Linked DNA regions of Elephas maximus indicus. Each later gene encodes a partner of the first gene's protein in a complex. Links are inferred from orthologs where the notes say so. Each region holds a gene or a part of one and is shown on either strand. Other genes may lie near its edges.

Evidence for each region.
Region 2: the proteins of PRPF40A (region 1) and SF1 are in contact, whole or in part, in an NMR structure (PDB 8PXX), measured with the Homo sapiens proteins. The link is inferred for Elephas maximus indicus from reciprocal best matches to the Homo sapiens genes PRPF40A and SF1. Residues at the interface, in NP_001352526.1 of Homo sapiens: His164, Ser166, Tyr172, Tyr174, Ser181, Thr182, Trp183, Tyr213, Tyr215, Ser222, Arg223, Trp224; in NP_004621.2 of Homo sapiens: Pro575, Pro576, Leu577, Pro578, Pro579, Gly580, Ala581, Pro582, Pro586, Pro587, Pro588, Pro589, Pro590.

What each region holds. Positions count from the first base shown.
Region 1 is NC_064824.1:49,938,579-49,946,701, reverse strand, and holds the start of PRPF40A (pre-mRNA-processing factor 40 homolog A), read left to right. Parts: upstream 1-5,068; 5' UTR 5,069-5,324; coding exon 5,325-5,720; intron 5,721-6,733; coding exon 6,734-6,865; intron 6,866-8,123. Other genes in the region: ARL6IP6 (ADP-ribosylation factor-like protein 6-interacting protein 6), read right to left, coding at 1,961-2,014, 3,922-4,321.
Region 2 is NC_064825.1:127,945,390-127,952,777, reverse strand, and holds the start of SF1 (splicing factor 1), read left to right. Parts: upstream 1-4,197; 5' UTR 4,198-4,608; coding exon 4,609-4,948; intron 4,949-6,335; coding exon 6,336-6,464; intron 6,465-7,388. UniProt on the Homo sapiens protein: Necessary for the ATP-dependent first step of spliceosome assembly. Binds to the intron branch point sequence (BPS) 5'-UACUAAC-3' of the pre-mRNA. May act as transcription repressor.

The DNA.
Region 1 (8,123 bases):
GATGCAGAGCCCAAATTCTCGTAAAAAGACCAGACTTAATAGTCAGACTGGGATTAGAAAGACCCTGGAGGCCGCGGTCCCCAGACCTTCTGTTAGCCCAAGACAGGAACCATTCCCAAAGCCAACTCTTCAGACAGGGATTCGACTGGAATATGGGATGCAAAATGATACTGGTAAAGAGCGAGCTTCTTGGATCAAGTAGACACATGAGACTATGTTGGCATCTCCTGTCTGGAGGGGAGACGAGAAGGCAGAGGGGGCCAGAAGCTACCCGAAAGGACACAAGGAGACACAGTGGAGGGAAGAACTGTGCTATCTCATTAGAAGGAGAGCAACTGGGAGCGTATGGCAAGGTGTACGTCAATTTTTTATAAGAGATTGACCTGATTTGTAAATTTCACTTAAAGCACAATAAAATTTTTTTTAAAAAAGGGCAGTTTCTGCTCATTCCTGAGTCTTGATAATAAATTCATGTCATTAGCAAAGCCTCAGATATAATCTTCCTATTTCCTATCACAGTATTACATATATAATAACGACAACAAAAAAATCGACCCCATTGCCATTAAGTTGGATTCTGAGTCATAGCAACCCTACATGACAGAGGAGAAATGCCCCAGAGTTTCCAAAAAGCACCTGGTAGATTTGAACTGCCCACCTTTTTGGTTAGCAGCTGAACTCTTAATGGCTAAGGCACCAGGTCTCCATATATTAGTTCAGCTAAAATGAGGTAGGGCCAGGGAATATGCAGGATAGGATGTACACATTTTTTTTTTAATTTGGAATGATTAATCAAATGAAACATAGTTAAATAGGCTAAAAATATGCCAAACATAGAGGACAGATAAAGTTCTGAGCTCTTGCTAAACCTAAAAACCCAAACCCACTGCCATTGAGTTGATTCCGACTCATAATGACAGAGTAGAACTGTCCCATGGAATTGCCAAGGAGCAGCTGGTGGGTTCAAACTGCTAACCTTTTGTTTAGCAGCCAAGCTCATAACCACTGTGCCACCAGGGCTCTGAGCTCTTGGTGGAGGGAAACAAATACAGGATAAATAACTCTTGAGAGTTTTTCGTTGAAAGTCTGTAAACTAACCAAACCCACTGTCACTGAGTCAACTCCAACTCATCACGACCCTACAGGACCGGGTTTCCAAGGCTGTACGTAAATCTTTCCGGAAGCAGACCGCCACATCTTCTTCCCACGGAGTGGCTGGTCCATTTGAACTGCTGACATTTTCGTAAACAGCGAAGTGCTTAACCACTGGGCTCCTTCCGTAAACTAATGCACTCTACACACACTCAGGTCTAACTCTTTACTAGTCATTAACTTATGCAAGTACACCCAATGTGCCTTTTTTTTTGAACAGAAGTTGCTTATAAAGGGATCTGAACTTAAATATCTACAAAGTTCTGCTTAAAATGTTATCTTTGCTAAGTTTATCAGGTTTTTTTTTTTTTAATTCCTGGAATGCCTCCTCCGAAGACAACTAGAAAATTTTAAGTATCCCATGGATTTGAGTCACATATTTTTATCAGTCGCTGTCAAGTTGATTCCGACTCATGGCAACCCCGTGTGTGCATAGTAGAACTAGTCCAGCCTGTGATCTTTCAGAAGCAGACTATCAGGCTTGTCTTCCAAGATGTCCGTGGGTGGGCTTGAATTGGTAACCTTTCGGCTAGTAGTTGAGCACTTGACTGTTTGTGCCACCCAGGGACTCGAATCACATATGGTAATACTCAAAATGTACTTCCAAAATTTTATAATGGGTGTGTGTGTGTGTATACAGACATACATCTATAAATATAACATAATAAAAACTCATCACATATATACGCAAATCAAAGACTGAATCAAGGGCACAGACGAACATATTGGGCATTTTATCTAAAATTTTGTACAATTTAAGTATGTTTTGAAAAGCAGAAGTGGACCTTAAATCAAATTAAGTCCATACCTAACAGCCCAGTGTCTACACCATCTTCATTCTTCAGATTCTCAGCATGCAACTCTGTAAATACAAAGAGAGGGCTAGGTAAAGAATAAAGTTATTTCGTAATGTGAAGTAATCAAAGGCTTGGGTGACATTGTGAAGTTGTGCAAAGTACTCCAGAGTCAAAGAACTGGTTTCGAATTCTGATTCTACTTACTAGCTACGTGATCTTCAGGAATCAAGTAAGACTTACCTTATAAATGGGAAAGCTAATGTTTACTTCATAGGGTTGCTGTGAAAACAGTTTAATAGCAATTGCAGAGCATACCAGGTCTTACTTCAATTCCTTCCCCCATTCTTTAGTATAAAAACAGCTCAATGTTTTCTGCAATGAACTTCAATTTACAACAATTTTATGACTTTATGATGCAAAGGCAATCTTTCAGAGAAAAACAAAAGGTAGAGGTATCACCTGTTTCTCTAAAGTTTGCTTTACACCACTTCGCTTTTACAAAAGACCTACGCTAGTACCTGTTTTCACTAACAAAAAAAAAATCCAGAGGATTTTTGCTTTTACAAAAAGAGGCAAAAAGTGGAAACTGCCATCAGCCATTTGTTTTGCAGTGAGCCTTTAAAGATGCAATACACACCCTGAGCAGTCAGTGGCATTGCCAAGCTCCTTCCATGGGAACTATACTCAGCATCTCAGCATTGTATATCATTCCTGCTTTTACTGCCTGGTAGTGTTATTTGGTATGATTTGGTAGGTTAGTTTTGGGGCCTGAGAAATGCTCGAAAAATTTTCCCATATAAATTAATGTTAATGCTTCTTTGTTTCACGCCATTTCAGCTTAAGAAATGTTTCACAGGAACTCTCTACATTCAGATATCAAGGGAAGCCTGTACCTAGAAAACTGTCTCTTAGAATTGCTGTGAAAAAATAAGGGGAGAGGAGAAGGAGTGATAAAATAATAAAACATTGGCAGCCAAGTAATTCATATTCACAGTTTACCATCTCATGAAGAGGTAAAATTCACAAAGTAACTTGTCAGTCTATCTTCTTACAATCAAGCATTGTAAGCTGTTAGATGCTATCTGCTGCCCATTAGGAGCTGGGAAACAACGAGTAAAAAATAACTGTAGTTAAACAAATATACACTATTTAGTCAAATGAAACTGACACTTCAGAGATGTGTCGGGTGTGTTCTATACACAAAGTAAGGTAGTTCTTTTCGTTTTATATTTTTTTCCAATAATTTGGCCAAGGTCACATTCACTACTCAGAAATGATATTTAAACTCAGGTATGAATCCTTCTACTTTTATATGCAGTACCCAACCATATAATACATCTGTATCAGCCTCTGCAAAACCTTTCAAGGCACATCTATTTTTATTCCAATCTGGCCAATATTTCAACTTCAGGCACTACTAAAGGGGGGAAAAAAAACCCTACGGACGCTGCGGTAAAACTTTACTTACTACACCCAGCTACAAATATAACATAAAACTAAGAGAGACTAATTATTTTACCCGTCCAAGTACAAATTTGGGTTGTGGGCTAGAACTTCTTGTCCTCCAGGAATTCTGTGAGTGTACAGAGGGATCGGTGGATCAAAGCCACTGAACCTGTAGCCTTTTCAATTACACCCATTTTTCACCGTCTCCTTTTAATGATGGTGTTTCTGAAATTTGCTTTTCTCAATATTTCACCCCAAGTGGTCACTGATTTTAAGATATTAAATCTTCAGAAGTACCCATTTATCAAAGGAATCATTCTTAAAAAAGAGTCTGCTGATCACAGACCAGGGTCTTCCACCTTGGGAAAGAGAAGACAAAAGGAGAAGAGCAAAGAAAGGTGCAGACGACGACTCTGAATGAAAGAGGCTGCCAGCTTGCCGGTGAAAAGAGGGAGAGATGGAGGCGAGGGACGCGTCCAGGCCCAACTTCTGCTCTGGGCAGACTTTCAGGCCCGCGCTTCAGTACCTTTTACTATCAGGTAGGCGATGGCAAGAAGGAATGCGAGGAGGGCGGCGAATAGCAGCGAACAGAGCACAGAGAGGACCTGGACCGGCCACCGCCGAGCCGAGGCTCGTCCGCCCACAGTCGCTGGGAAGATGCCATTGCGCTTATCGGGCAGAACCGGTGAACCGTCCCCGTGCGGCGGTAGCAGCGAGCCCTTCCTGAGCTCCGACGACCCCCCAGCCGAGAACTCGGCTCGCAAGTCGCGGGCCACTTGGTCGCATCTCTCCTCCTCGTCGACTTCGCCCTCGCCCCAACCGTCCCCCTGAGAGAAGGCGGAGTACACCGGCCGAGGGAGTGGGGCCCGAGTGCCAAGTCGGCGGCGCCGCAAAGCCAAGACGCTCCCGCTCTCCACAAACGACATGGCGGGAAAGACCGTGAGGCCCGCGGAGGCGGAGCGGCTCCCACCCTGGGCCGTCAGCAGCCAATCAGCGCCCGGGCCCTATCCCGGCCTCGACCACCCGGCTCTGGCGTGCAGGGGTGCGTAGGAGTTCGCAGCTGGCGGGAAGCAAGCAGACGGGCCTCCTAAAGAGCCCGAACGCCCCTGGACCAGAGCCCGACCCAGGGTCTGGCAATGCGGAGGGAGAGAAGCAAAGCGCGGAGCGGCAGGCGAGCCGAGACCGAAGGTAGCCGAATGCCTGGCTCCTGCAGCGCTTCGTTCCGGCCGGAGACCTCAGCCACCGCCGCGTCACCTCTAGGCAGGCGCGCGCCCTGATAGCTCCAATGCCGCACCTTCCCGACACCCGGTCCTAGCGCCCGCCTATGCCGCTCCGATACACGTTCCCGAACCTATTTGCTCTTTCCCTTTTCTTTGCTTGCCTTCTTCCCTGATTTCCTCCTTAAGAGCAGCTCACCGCCACGCGCTCGTGTCTTGCCTTAACCGCCCATTCCTAACTCTCTTCCGCATCTTTTTTTCTCTGCCCCTACCACTCCTTCCCTCCACGCCCTCTACACGCCTCTACCTCTCTTCTGCCAGGGCGTGCGCTCTCCGATCTGTTACCTACCTCGAACTCTCTTCTTTTGGGCCCCTCCTCCCGTCTTCCCCGCCCCCTCCCTTCCTTGCCCCTCCCACTGTCTCGAGCACTGCGCGCGCGCCATCTGGCCGCAGCCACCGCTAACGCTAGAAGCTGCCTACCCCACCCCCACCCACCGTACCCCTGGCGGCTTCAGGTTTGTGGGGCGTACGTAACTTGGTTGGGGGCGGTGAAGGCGCCAGGCCCCCGCTGCCCACCCCCTATGGAGGAGTGCGGCCGTCCCAACTAGGGAAGCTGGGACACTGTTATCTTCTCTTCCCCGGGGGAAGTTGGTGAAGTTTTCCCGGCGGAGGATTCGGAGCAGAAACTTCCTCCGTCCCCCTCCCCCCCTCCATGCAGGCGACGTCGAGTGAGGCTGGGGGCGAATCGCCGCAGAGCTGCGTGCCGGCCGCGCACTCAGATTGGGCTTCGGGGAAGCCTGTCAGCTTATTGGCCCCGCTGATCCCGCCCCGAAGCGCAGCGCAGCCTTTAACCTTTGGCCCCGGCGGGCGCCAGCCACTCAGATCGCTTCTTGTTGGCATGTGTAGCGGCAGTGGCCGCCGGCGGAGCAGTCAGAGTCCGACGATGAGGCCGGGGACGGGAGCAGAGCGTGGAGGCCTCATGGTGAGTGAAATGGAGAGCCATCCTCCGTCGCGGGGTCCCGGGAACGGGGAGCGGAGATTGCCCGGCTCAAGCCTTTGCTCCAGCTCTTGGGTCTCTGCTGACGGCTTCCTGAGGAGCCGGCCCTCGGTAAGGGATCGGTGGGGAAGGGGGAAAGTGGCACAATGAAAAACGGAGTCAGAGAGACAGGAAGCTTTCTCAAAGAGGAGAAGAGTGGACGGAGGAAGCGCTCGAGATGGTGGGATATGTTCCGATGGAGAGAAATGGGGGGCGGGGACGCACAAAGGGAAGGATGTGGGACCCTGGAAGTTCCCGGTGGGCTTGGCGTAGGCAGAGGCGTGGTGGAGATGCTGGGCCCTGGGCGGGGTAAGCGTCTAGGAGAGGTAGGCCTGATTTAGCAGGAAGAGGGAGGCGGAAACTTGGTTTTGTAGACTTTAAAAGAGGCTGCCAAAATTTGTTTTCACTAGTAGTGGGGGTGTCTGCAGTGGGAGCATTGGCAGGAAATTTACTTGGTTTTAAGACCTGGAACAATGGACACTTAGGTGAAGTGTTGTCTTTTTAAAGAGCATTAAAGTTGCATTTTTTCCGGAAGAATTTTACCTGTCTTAAAAGTTGTGTTAGGAAAGAATATGTTTATTTGTTAGGAGTGAAGTGTCCCTAGGTACCTATCTGTCTTTTCTAAGACCAGTTCTCATCTGAGTTAATTTGGTAAATTTAGCGTTTTAAAGTCATTTAAGTAACGTGTTTTAAAAAAAGCGTTATAAAATAGCAATAGATGGTTCTCTTTTGTATCTGTGAAATATGACAAAGTTGTGGCTTTCACCATGAGAGTTTAAAGTAGTTATTACATAAATTTCGTTCAAGTTTGGCAAGCCAGTTAGTAACTGATTAAATCAGTTTTTCTTTTTAAATTGATCTAGATGTTCAATGATGGTTTCAAGTTATATTCAGGAATATGGCAGTTGCAAGCTTGTTATAAACACTGTAGTGCATTTTTTGTTAATATAGGACAAGAGAGTATAAACTATCTGCGTAATTCAATCACACATTACTTTAATATTAGCCACTGCAGAGAACTCATTTGAGATTTTTGAGAAGCTCTTTCTGTTACTTGCTGATGTTTAGTTTTCATTATTTTTCAGATGGGACACCCTGGCATGCACTATGCCCCCATGGGAATGCACCCTATGGGTCAGAGAGCGAATATGCCACCTGTACCTCATGGAATGATGCCACAAATGATGCCCCCTATGGGAGGGCCACCAATGGGACAAGTAAGAATATTTTTGTATTTTTGTTTTGTTTTCCATTTATTTTTGTCTTCTAGTATTGTGTCAAGATGAAGTCTGGGTAAATAGTTATAGCTGTTTAAGGATTAGTTTATGTCAAAATAATGTTTTCAGATACAGCAAATGTTGGATCATGACTAACCAAATTTTGAATGTATCAAAAGTCTTCTGTACGAAAAACTTATTTCCTACCTCAACAAAACTAAGAGTTTCTTTTTTTTTTTTTTTTAAATTAACAAGGTACATTTAGGCTTTTTAGTTTAATGACTTTTTTTTAAGGATGTCAATTTAACTGAACGCTCTAAGAATAAGTATTATCTGATATGTCACATAACTTATATTGGTGGGCCATAAAAGATGAATACAAAGGATCTGAAAATAGGAATTGCTTAAGCCATTAACTGAGAATGAGTTCTATATTTTATTCCTGAAATATCTTCTTCTTTTGTGTGTATGTTGGAGGCGGGGCTGATGAGGTTCCTACTTCATAATTCTGATTTTTCATAGGATGCTGTCAAATAGGTAGCTCATTTTCCATTTATACTATTTTGTTTAAGCAAAATTTGTATTGCTTCTGCACTACTGCTTCTGAGCCGTCCCTTCCATCTCGAGCATGAATTGTAAATAGACATTTTGTAGGAGTGATTTAGATCAAAAGGTTTTAAGGCTTACTCAGTGGCTGATAGAACTGAATTCCTAGGAGAGCATTCAAGAAAGTTAACAGGTTAAGTTACTATGGATAATTTCATGTTTTCTGTATTAAGTCCTATAATACACAGGTCCTTTAGGTGGCTGGGTTATTTCCATTTGAGTATCTTGATAAATCATCAGAAATTTAGGCTAACAAAATATTTTGAAAAAAACCAGTCGATTTGATTTGATCTTTTGATAATTAGTACTGTTTTCTTTGATAATAATTTAAGTCACGATGGTTAAAGTTAATAGTGCAATTGCAGTGGACGAAAGGAGCTTGCTCTGTGTCTCTTTCTATTTAACCGTAAGAATAGAAGGGCTTAACGTCAAGTGGTTTTCTTCTTTTTTATTTGGAATATAGCCCTTAATTTTGTATAAAAATCTTTATTCAAAGGCACAGGCCCAAAAGATTCTGCCTGTAGGTGTTCTTTAAATAAAAGAACTGTTTATTCTGTGACTGTAGAGTAACATAAAATTTAAAATTCCCTATATGATGGAGAGACAACTCTGATTCCTCTTGTTTCTTTCCATCTCTAAACAGCAAGGAGCT
Region 2 (7,388 bases), on another chromosome or scaffold:
CAAGGGGGCTTGGTACTCAGCTTGGGTGGTAGCTTCACGGGTGCCGAATTTACAACTCAGTTCCTAACTTACATAGGTGCATCCTTTTGTGGGTAACAAATATTGTGTAAAAAAATGTAATAAAATATTCAAAAATAATTACTCAGTGAAACCCTTCAATGGCTAAAAACCAAAACAACCTAAGACAATCCTTTCCTAGATGATGACTTAAGTGGAGAGAAATCATACCTGTGTTCTTTCCCAAACTGTGAACAGAATCCTCTCTCTGTAGTTGCCTTCTTCTATTATTTTTTAATAAGCAGCTTTATCAAGGTATAACTGACATACAATAAAATGTACTATTTGATGAGTTTTGATGTAGGTATACACTCATGAAACCATTGCCACAGTCAAGATAATGAACATTTCCATCATCACTTTCGAAGGTTCCCTCGTGCCCTTTGGTAATCACTTCCTCCTACCCCTCCTGGCCACCCCATCTTCTGTCACTGCACGTTCATTTGCATTTTCCAGCATTTGTATCAATGGAATCATAGTGCATGTATTCTTTTTGTTTGGCCTCTTTCACTTAGCATAATTATTTTGAGATTTATCCGTGTTATTGCAAGTATCAATAGTTCACTCCTTCTTATTGTCAAGTAGTATTCCGTTGCATGGATGTCTCACAGTTGGCTGATGGGCATTTGGATTGCTGCCAGTTTTGTACTACTAGAAATGAGGCTGCTGTGAACACGCATAAAGTCTTTTGCGGCTATATATACTTTCATTTCTCTTGGGAAAATACTTTGGAGAGGAATGGCTGGGTCATATGGTAGGTGGTAACCTTTTAAGAAACTTCCAAACTGCTTTCCAAGGTGGTTGTACCACTTTACATTCCTCCCCACAGCGTAGGAGAGTTCGTTACGCCACACCTTTGCTGACATTTCATACCCAGTAAACCCAGTGCCGTCTTAATTCTAACCATTCAAATGGGTGTGTAGTGGTGCTGTAGAGTGGTTTTTTTTAATATATATTTTATTTTTGTTGTTGAGAATATACACATCAGAACGTATACCAACTCGACAGTTTCTACATGTACAATTCAGTGACATTGATTGCATGCTTGGAGTTGTGCAACCGTTCTCACCCTCCTTTTCTGAGTTGTTCCTCCTCTATTAACATAAACCTCCTGCCCCTAAGTTTCCTATCTGATATTTTGATCTGTTGCATAGTGTTTTTCATTTGAATTTCCCTAATGACTAATGATATTGAGAATCTTTTGTACTTATTTACCATCCTTTGGTGAGGTTTCTGTTCGAATCTTTTGCCCCTTTTAAAAGATAGGGTTGTTTGTTCTTTTACTGAGTTTTCAGAGTCCTTTATGTATTCTAGATACAAGTCCTTTATCAGATACGTGATTTGCACACATCTATTGCTCTGTTTTTCTAATTTGTACCTAAGTCACAAATTCTACTACCCATCTCCCCCCCCCCCCCCCGCCCGGTTCAGATTGGAAGCTATAAGTAAACATGGTTTTCCAGAAAAGAAAAATTATGGGAAGTATGTGGGTCCTGGTGGTGCAGTGGTTAAGAGCTTGGCTGCTAATCAGAAGGTCTGCAGTTTGAATCTACCAGCTGCTCCTTGAAAACCCTACGGGGCGGTTCTACTCTGTCCTGTAGGGTCACTATGAGTTAGAATCAACTTGAGGGCAACAGGTTTGGTCTGTTTTTGGATGTGGGTTCTCATTCCATGGTAGATATCATTACTCCTAATTGGGATATGGGATCACATGCAGGGCTCTCCAAAAGTTGGACAGGGGATTCACTCCTTACAGGCTTGGCCAGCTGTATCTTGCCCAGGGCCTGGGGGTTCTGAGCTATCAAGTATAGAGTTAAGACACAGAAAATGCCAGGGATTAGGAGGAAAAGGCTGAAACTTCTCACCCTTGTATAAAGCCAGGGAGCATCTATGTCTGAAATCTGTGTGCAGCTCTGGCCCCTGCAGCTCAGCAGATACCACGTTAAAATCAACTGTGTTCTCCGATCTCATGGAATCTACACAGTACCCTGCAGCGCAATGCCATCATCTATATTCTGCAGAAGTAACTGAGGTACGGAGAGATGAAATGACTCCCCTAGTTGCCAGCTGATGGATATCTGAGGCTGACTCCCAACTTGCCTCAAAACTGGGAAGCACTTGCTCAACACTCCTTAAAATCAGAAAGTGGCACAGTTTGGATTCAAATCCTCTTCCGTCCAACTCAGGAGTCTCAGGCAAATAGAAACTATATGACTTTGTAATCTTGGGCTAGTCTCTTAAAGCTCTCTGTGCCTCAGTTTTCTCATCTGTAGAGATAATACTCATCTCATTCAACAGAATGCTTTCCAAAAAAGAAATTCACAGTAGGTGCTAATATTTACATATTTTGCCATTTTGATGGTTATATATGGAGATTCCTGTACCATTTTAATTGGCATTTTCTTAGGGAGACTGTGCACCTTTCATGCTTCTTGGCTATTTGGATTAGCTCTGGGAACTTGTCTGTTCATATTCTTTGCTCATTTTTCTATTGTTTTTGTCTTTTTTGCTAATTAAAGAATTGTTTATTATAGACATTAGCCCTTTATCTGCCATATATGTGCCAAATAGCTTTACTAACCTATCATTTCTGTTCTCTTTTATCACAGGAAATTTTTTTGTAATCAAGCATACCTTTTATAAATAGTTTGAGTTTCCTGTCTTCCTAAATTCTCTCAACCCCTAGATTACCCTATTGTCTCCTAAATTGTAATCTGAATGTTTATTTATATTTAAGACTCTGTACCATCTAAGGGGAAACCCTGGTGGTGTAGTGGTTAAGTGCTACAGCTGCTAACCAAAGGGTCCACCAGGTGCTCCTTGGAAACTCTATGGGGCAGTTCTGCTCTGTCCTATAGGGTCGCTATGAGTCAGAATCGACTCGATGGCACTAGGTTTGGTTGGTTTTGGTACCATCTAAGGAGTCTTGGTGGCACAGCTCGGCTGCTACACCAGCTGGTCCTTGGAAACCCTATGGGGCAGTTGTAACTCTGTCCTATAGCGTTGCTATGAATTGGAATTGACTCAATGGCAATGGGTTAATAACTAAATCATTTTTTCTTTACTGAATTGAAACATCACTTTTCTGGTATTCGTGCTTGCATATGGGGAATCTATTTCTGGACTCTACTCAGATTCTGCTCCACCGATCTGTCCTTCCTACAGCCAATATACGGTTTTCGTCATTGTGTCTTTATACTACCCTATCTGGAAAGGCGAGCTCTTCCTCAACCTCTGTTACACCTTTTTCCACCATTTTCATTCGGATATGATTTTTAAGATAATTTCTCCAAATCCCTTCCAACCCCGTTGGGATTCTAATGGAAACGATTTATTCTTGTTAATTTTAGAACTGACAATTTCATATTATCATTCACCTAAGATTTTTTTTAAGATTATTTAAGATTATGTTCTCACATTAGCTCAGATAATTTTTAATCCTTCAATAAGACTATGCCGTAGCTGGCTTCTTTTTTTTTTTTTTTTTTTGCACTTTTTAGTTTTTTCAAAGAAAACCCAAACCAAATCCACTGCCGAGAAGAGTCGATGCCGACTCCTAGCTATAGAACACAGTAGAATTGCCGCATCTGGCTTCCCAGGCTGTAAGTCTGTACTCTTCCGCAGAGCGCCTGGTGGGTTTCAACCGCAAATCTTTCGGTTAGCGACCCAGCGCTTAAACACTGCGCCACCAGGGCTCCTTCAAAGAAAACAGGAAGTCCCTTTTTACCTGCAGCGACAACGGATCCGGTTACTGCGCGCGCGCGCGTCGCCCCCCCCACCCCGCCACTCCACGGGCCCGGGTTACCATGGGAATAGAGGATGACGTCACCCAAAGCTTCAGCGCCGGACCCAGGGGTCCACAGCCGACAGGGCTGGAAAGGCGGCTTTGCCATATCTACGCATGCGCACTCCCTGCCCCTCCTTCCTGCCTTAAAACTCGTTGGTGCTGGGGCTCCTCAGCCGCGACCTCTTGGTTCATCCGGTCGAAACTTCGCCCCGGAGAGTAGAAAAAGAATCGAGCGAGTGACAGCCAATCCCAAGACATTACGACGCCATCAAGATTGACTGACTCAACGGACTCCAGCCAATGAGAGAGCGCTCCTCTTCCACGTCATAGAGTTTGCCCATCCCCTCCCCGCCTTCCTGGACTCCGAGCTCAGTCCGCGCAGTAACAAACGAACTGCGCGCAGCGACAGCCCCAGCTCGCCAGGCTTCGCCGCCATTTCCTCCCTCGGCCTAACGGTTCGGCCAATCCCAGCGCGCATCGACAACGGCTAGGGACCGGCCAATCGGAAGACGCCGATCCCGACCCCTCGAGCCTCGGCCCGGTCCAATCGAGGCCCCGGCCCCGCCGCCCCCGGCCCGCCCCCGCGGCGCCCTCTCTCCTCCCTCTTTGTGCGTCTCGCGCCGCCGCCGCCGCCGCCGCCCGCCGCGTGAGAGGACGGCTCCGCGGCAGCGCAGTCCGGCCCCCCCCCGGAAGATTGGCGAAGGAGAAGCCGCCGCCGCCGCCGCTAAGGAAAAGGAGCCGCCGGTGCCGGTCCCAGGGGCGCCATGGCGACCGGAGCGCTGGGTAAGCTGGGCCTCCCCGGGCCCAAAGGGAGCTTCGAGCCGGGGCCGCCGCCCGCCCTCGGGCCTGGGGCGGGTCTACTGGTGCCCGGGCCGCCGCCGCCGCCGCCCGCGGGCGCGATGGGGGCCCTGACCGCGGCCTTCCCCTTCGCGGCGCCACCGCCGCCGCCCCCTCCACTGCCCCGGCCGCCGCTGCCGTCCCCGGGCTCCGCGAACCCGCCGCCGCAGCCGCCCCCTCCGCCGCTCTACCAGCGCGTGTCGCCGCCACAGCCACCCCAGCCGCCGCGTCAGGACCAGCAGCCAGGCCCGGCCGGCGGCGGAGGAGGTGAGTCGGGCCGAGCGCGCGAGCGGCGTCGCGCCGACGGGCCCGGCCGGCTGAGGGCCGCGCGGCTTCGGCGGCGGCGGCGGCTGCACGCGGCAGGGGCGCGCGCGGCCTGGTTCACGGGGACTCTACCGCGCACGCGCGCGGGGGGAGGGGAAGAGCGGGAGGCAGTCTGCTGTGCGCAGGCGCAGTGTGGCGGCCAGGCCTCGGGGCGCCGCTGCAAAGCCCGGGGCCCTTATTTGCTCTCCGGTCCGCTGGCATAGGGGGAGGCGTTGAGTGGCCCGGGTGTAGAGGGTGGCAGGTGGGTAGACCGGGAGGACAGGAGAGCGAAAGGGTGAACTCGTGACTTGGGCCGCCCTTTTGATGGTCTAAGTTGTCTGAAAGGGAAAAGAATACCCAGAATCGCCTCCCTAGTTGCACCTTAAGGCGAGGTTTTCAGTACAAAGAATGAAAGAGGTTGAGAGTTTCCACCTGATGGTTGGGGCTGTTCCTTCCTGGTCCCTTTTTGTGGGGTGGGGTGGGGGGAATCTGGTCACTGCCTTCCCTGTTTTATTTTCTGATCTCCCTTCGTTTACCCTAGAGCTTGCTCAGTCTCACCGCCTCCACTTTACTGTTGTTTTTAAAGACTTTCCCTCTTGGCTTGCACCCTTGGGGAACTAGAACGACTTCTGCGTGCTAACAGTTGGGAGTTTCTGCCTCTCTGTCGGGGAAGGGCCGCTTAGCTGCTTTCACATACCTTGTTGGTGTGAACTCATACATCTTTGAAGAGTTCAGACTTTAAGTGTCTACCTGGCCGGGATCACCGAATGCTGATCATGGCTAAACGCATGGAGAGTAAGGTGGTGGTGTTGAAGGATTGGGCTTTTCACGCAGTAGTGTGTAGTGATGAGTTCAGGGGTATCCCGGCTCCATTCAGAAAGGTGACTGGTGCGGGGTGGAGGTAGGAGCCAGCAGTTCCCCCAGCATTGTTCTACAGATTGTCTGTGGTCCTTCACTCTGCTCCTGTCTCCCCTGGGGCTTCTGAGGCATTCCGGCCAAGGTAGTATAGACGCTATTTACTTTGTTAGTATTAAATTTAATTACGTGAGATTTTGTGTACTACGTTTTGTCATTTCATATACACACGTTAGTAGTTTCTTTAGAGGGAAGTTATAAATGTGTAACGTTAACTTCTCTGACCCAGCTTCTCTTACGCTTGTAGTAGCCATATGTTTCGTTTTAATCTCTGATCTCTGACATTTGTCTTACATTCCGTGATGTTTAAGTTTTAGGTTGGGCCCTCAGTTTCGCCATCTGCTGAGGTTCTGTGGAATACAGGTGTCTTGTGCTGCCTGTTGGCAGTTACTGTGCTAGTTTGTATTTGCATCTGATGGATTTTATCTGCCTTTAGACTTCCCGAGTAAGAAGCGGAAGAGGAGCCGCTGGAACCAGGACACAATGGAACAGAAGACGGTGATTCCAGGAATGCCTACTGTTATTCCTCCTGGACTTACTCGAGAACAAGAAAGAGCTTATATAGGTAAATACACGTTCTGCATCTAAACGCATTTTCAGGTTGTTACTGTTTATCCTGAACAATATTTCTGTCCTTTGGCAGTTTGAGATTTTAGTGGTTTCTTTTTTGACAAGAGGTATGATGAGGTGTACTTTTATGGCTTTAACATAACCTGCCAGTTTTTGCTCAGTGAGTCCTGCTTTTGCAGTTCAGTGTTTTGGTTTGTTGATAACAACAGTGTTCTCCACGAGCGCCAGGAAGGTAGAGGGGCCCACTTAGGAGTGAGCGTAGTGTCCAGGCCATCCCCCACCTCACTCCATCCTTTTCAGCTGCTGTTCAGTTTCCTTGCCAGTTGGTGAGGTGAGTGTCTGGTGCCTCTGGACATGGCCCCAGTGGAGAACACTGCAGGTATTGTACACCCAAGTAAAGTGCCTTTTTCGCAGCATGGCCTTTCATCATAATTTTGTATTCCTCCCTCCCCCTAAAACGTGGTTTTACTTTTTTATAGGTACTTTCTGAAAGAAAAAAATAAAGCTCAGTTTAAACAAAAAAGTGGTTCTTTAAGTGTGTTTACAGTTCACCCCTATTTACCATTTTGTTGAATTTAACCTTCCCTTCAGCATCTTTTCTGGTTTGGTCCTTGGAGAGCTGTCTTAAAATGAAGGCTCTTGTATTTACTACTAAAGGATTCTGCTGGGAAAGGGATACGGCTTGGACATGGAATGAGGTGTAGGGTAAAAGGTCTGGTCTGTTGGGAAATTTCAAGAATTAAGCATGACTGCCATTGGCCCACACTGGAATCAAAATTAATCTCAGAATTATTTTTTCTTAAATGTAAGGTTTTTAACGCAGGTTTTACTTTTACATACCCGTGCAGCTGTTTCAAAAAAAGTTCATTTGATAAGTGATTTCTACTAACTAAACAGACATTCCCTTTGGGGAATATTA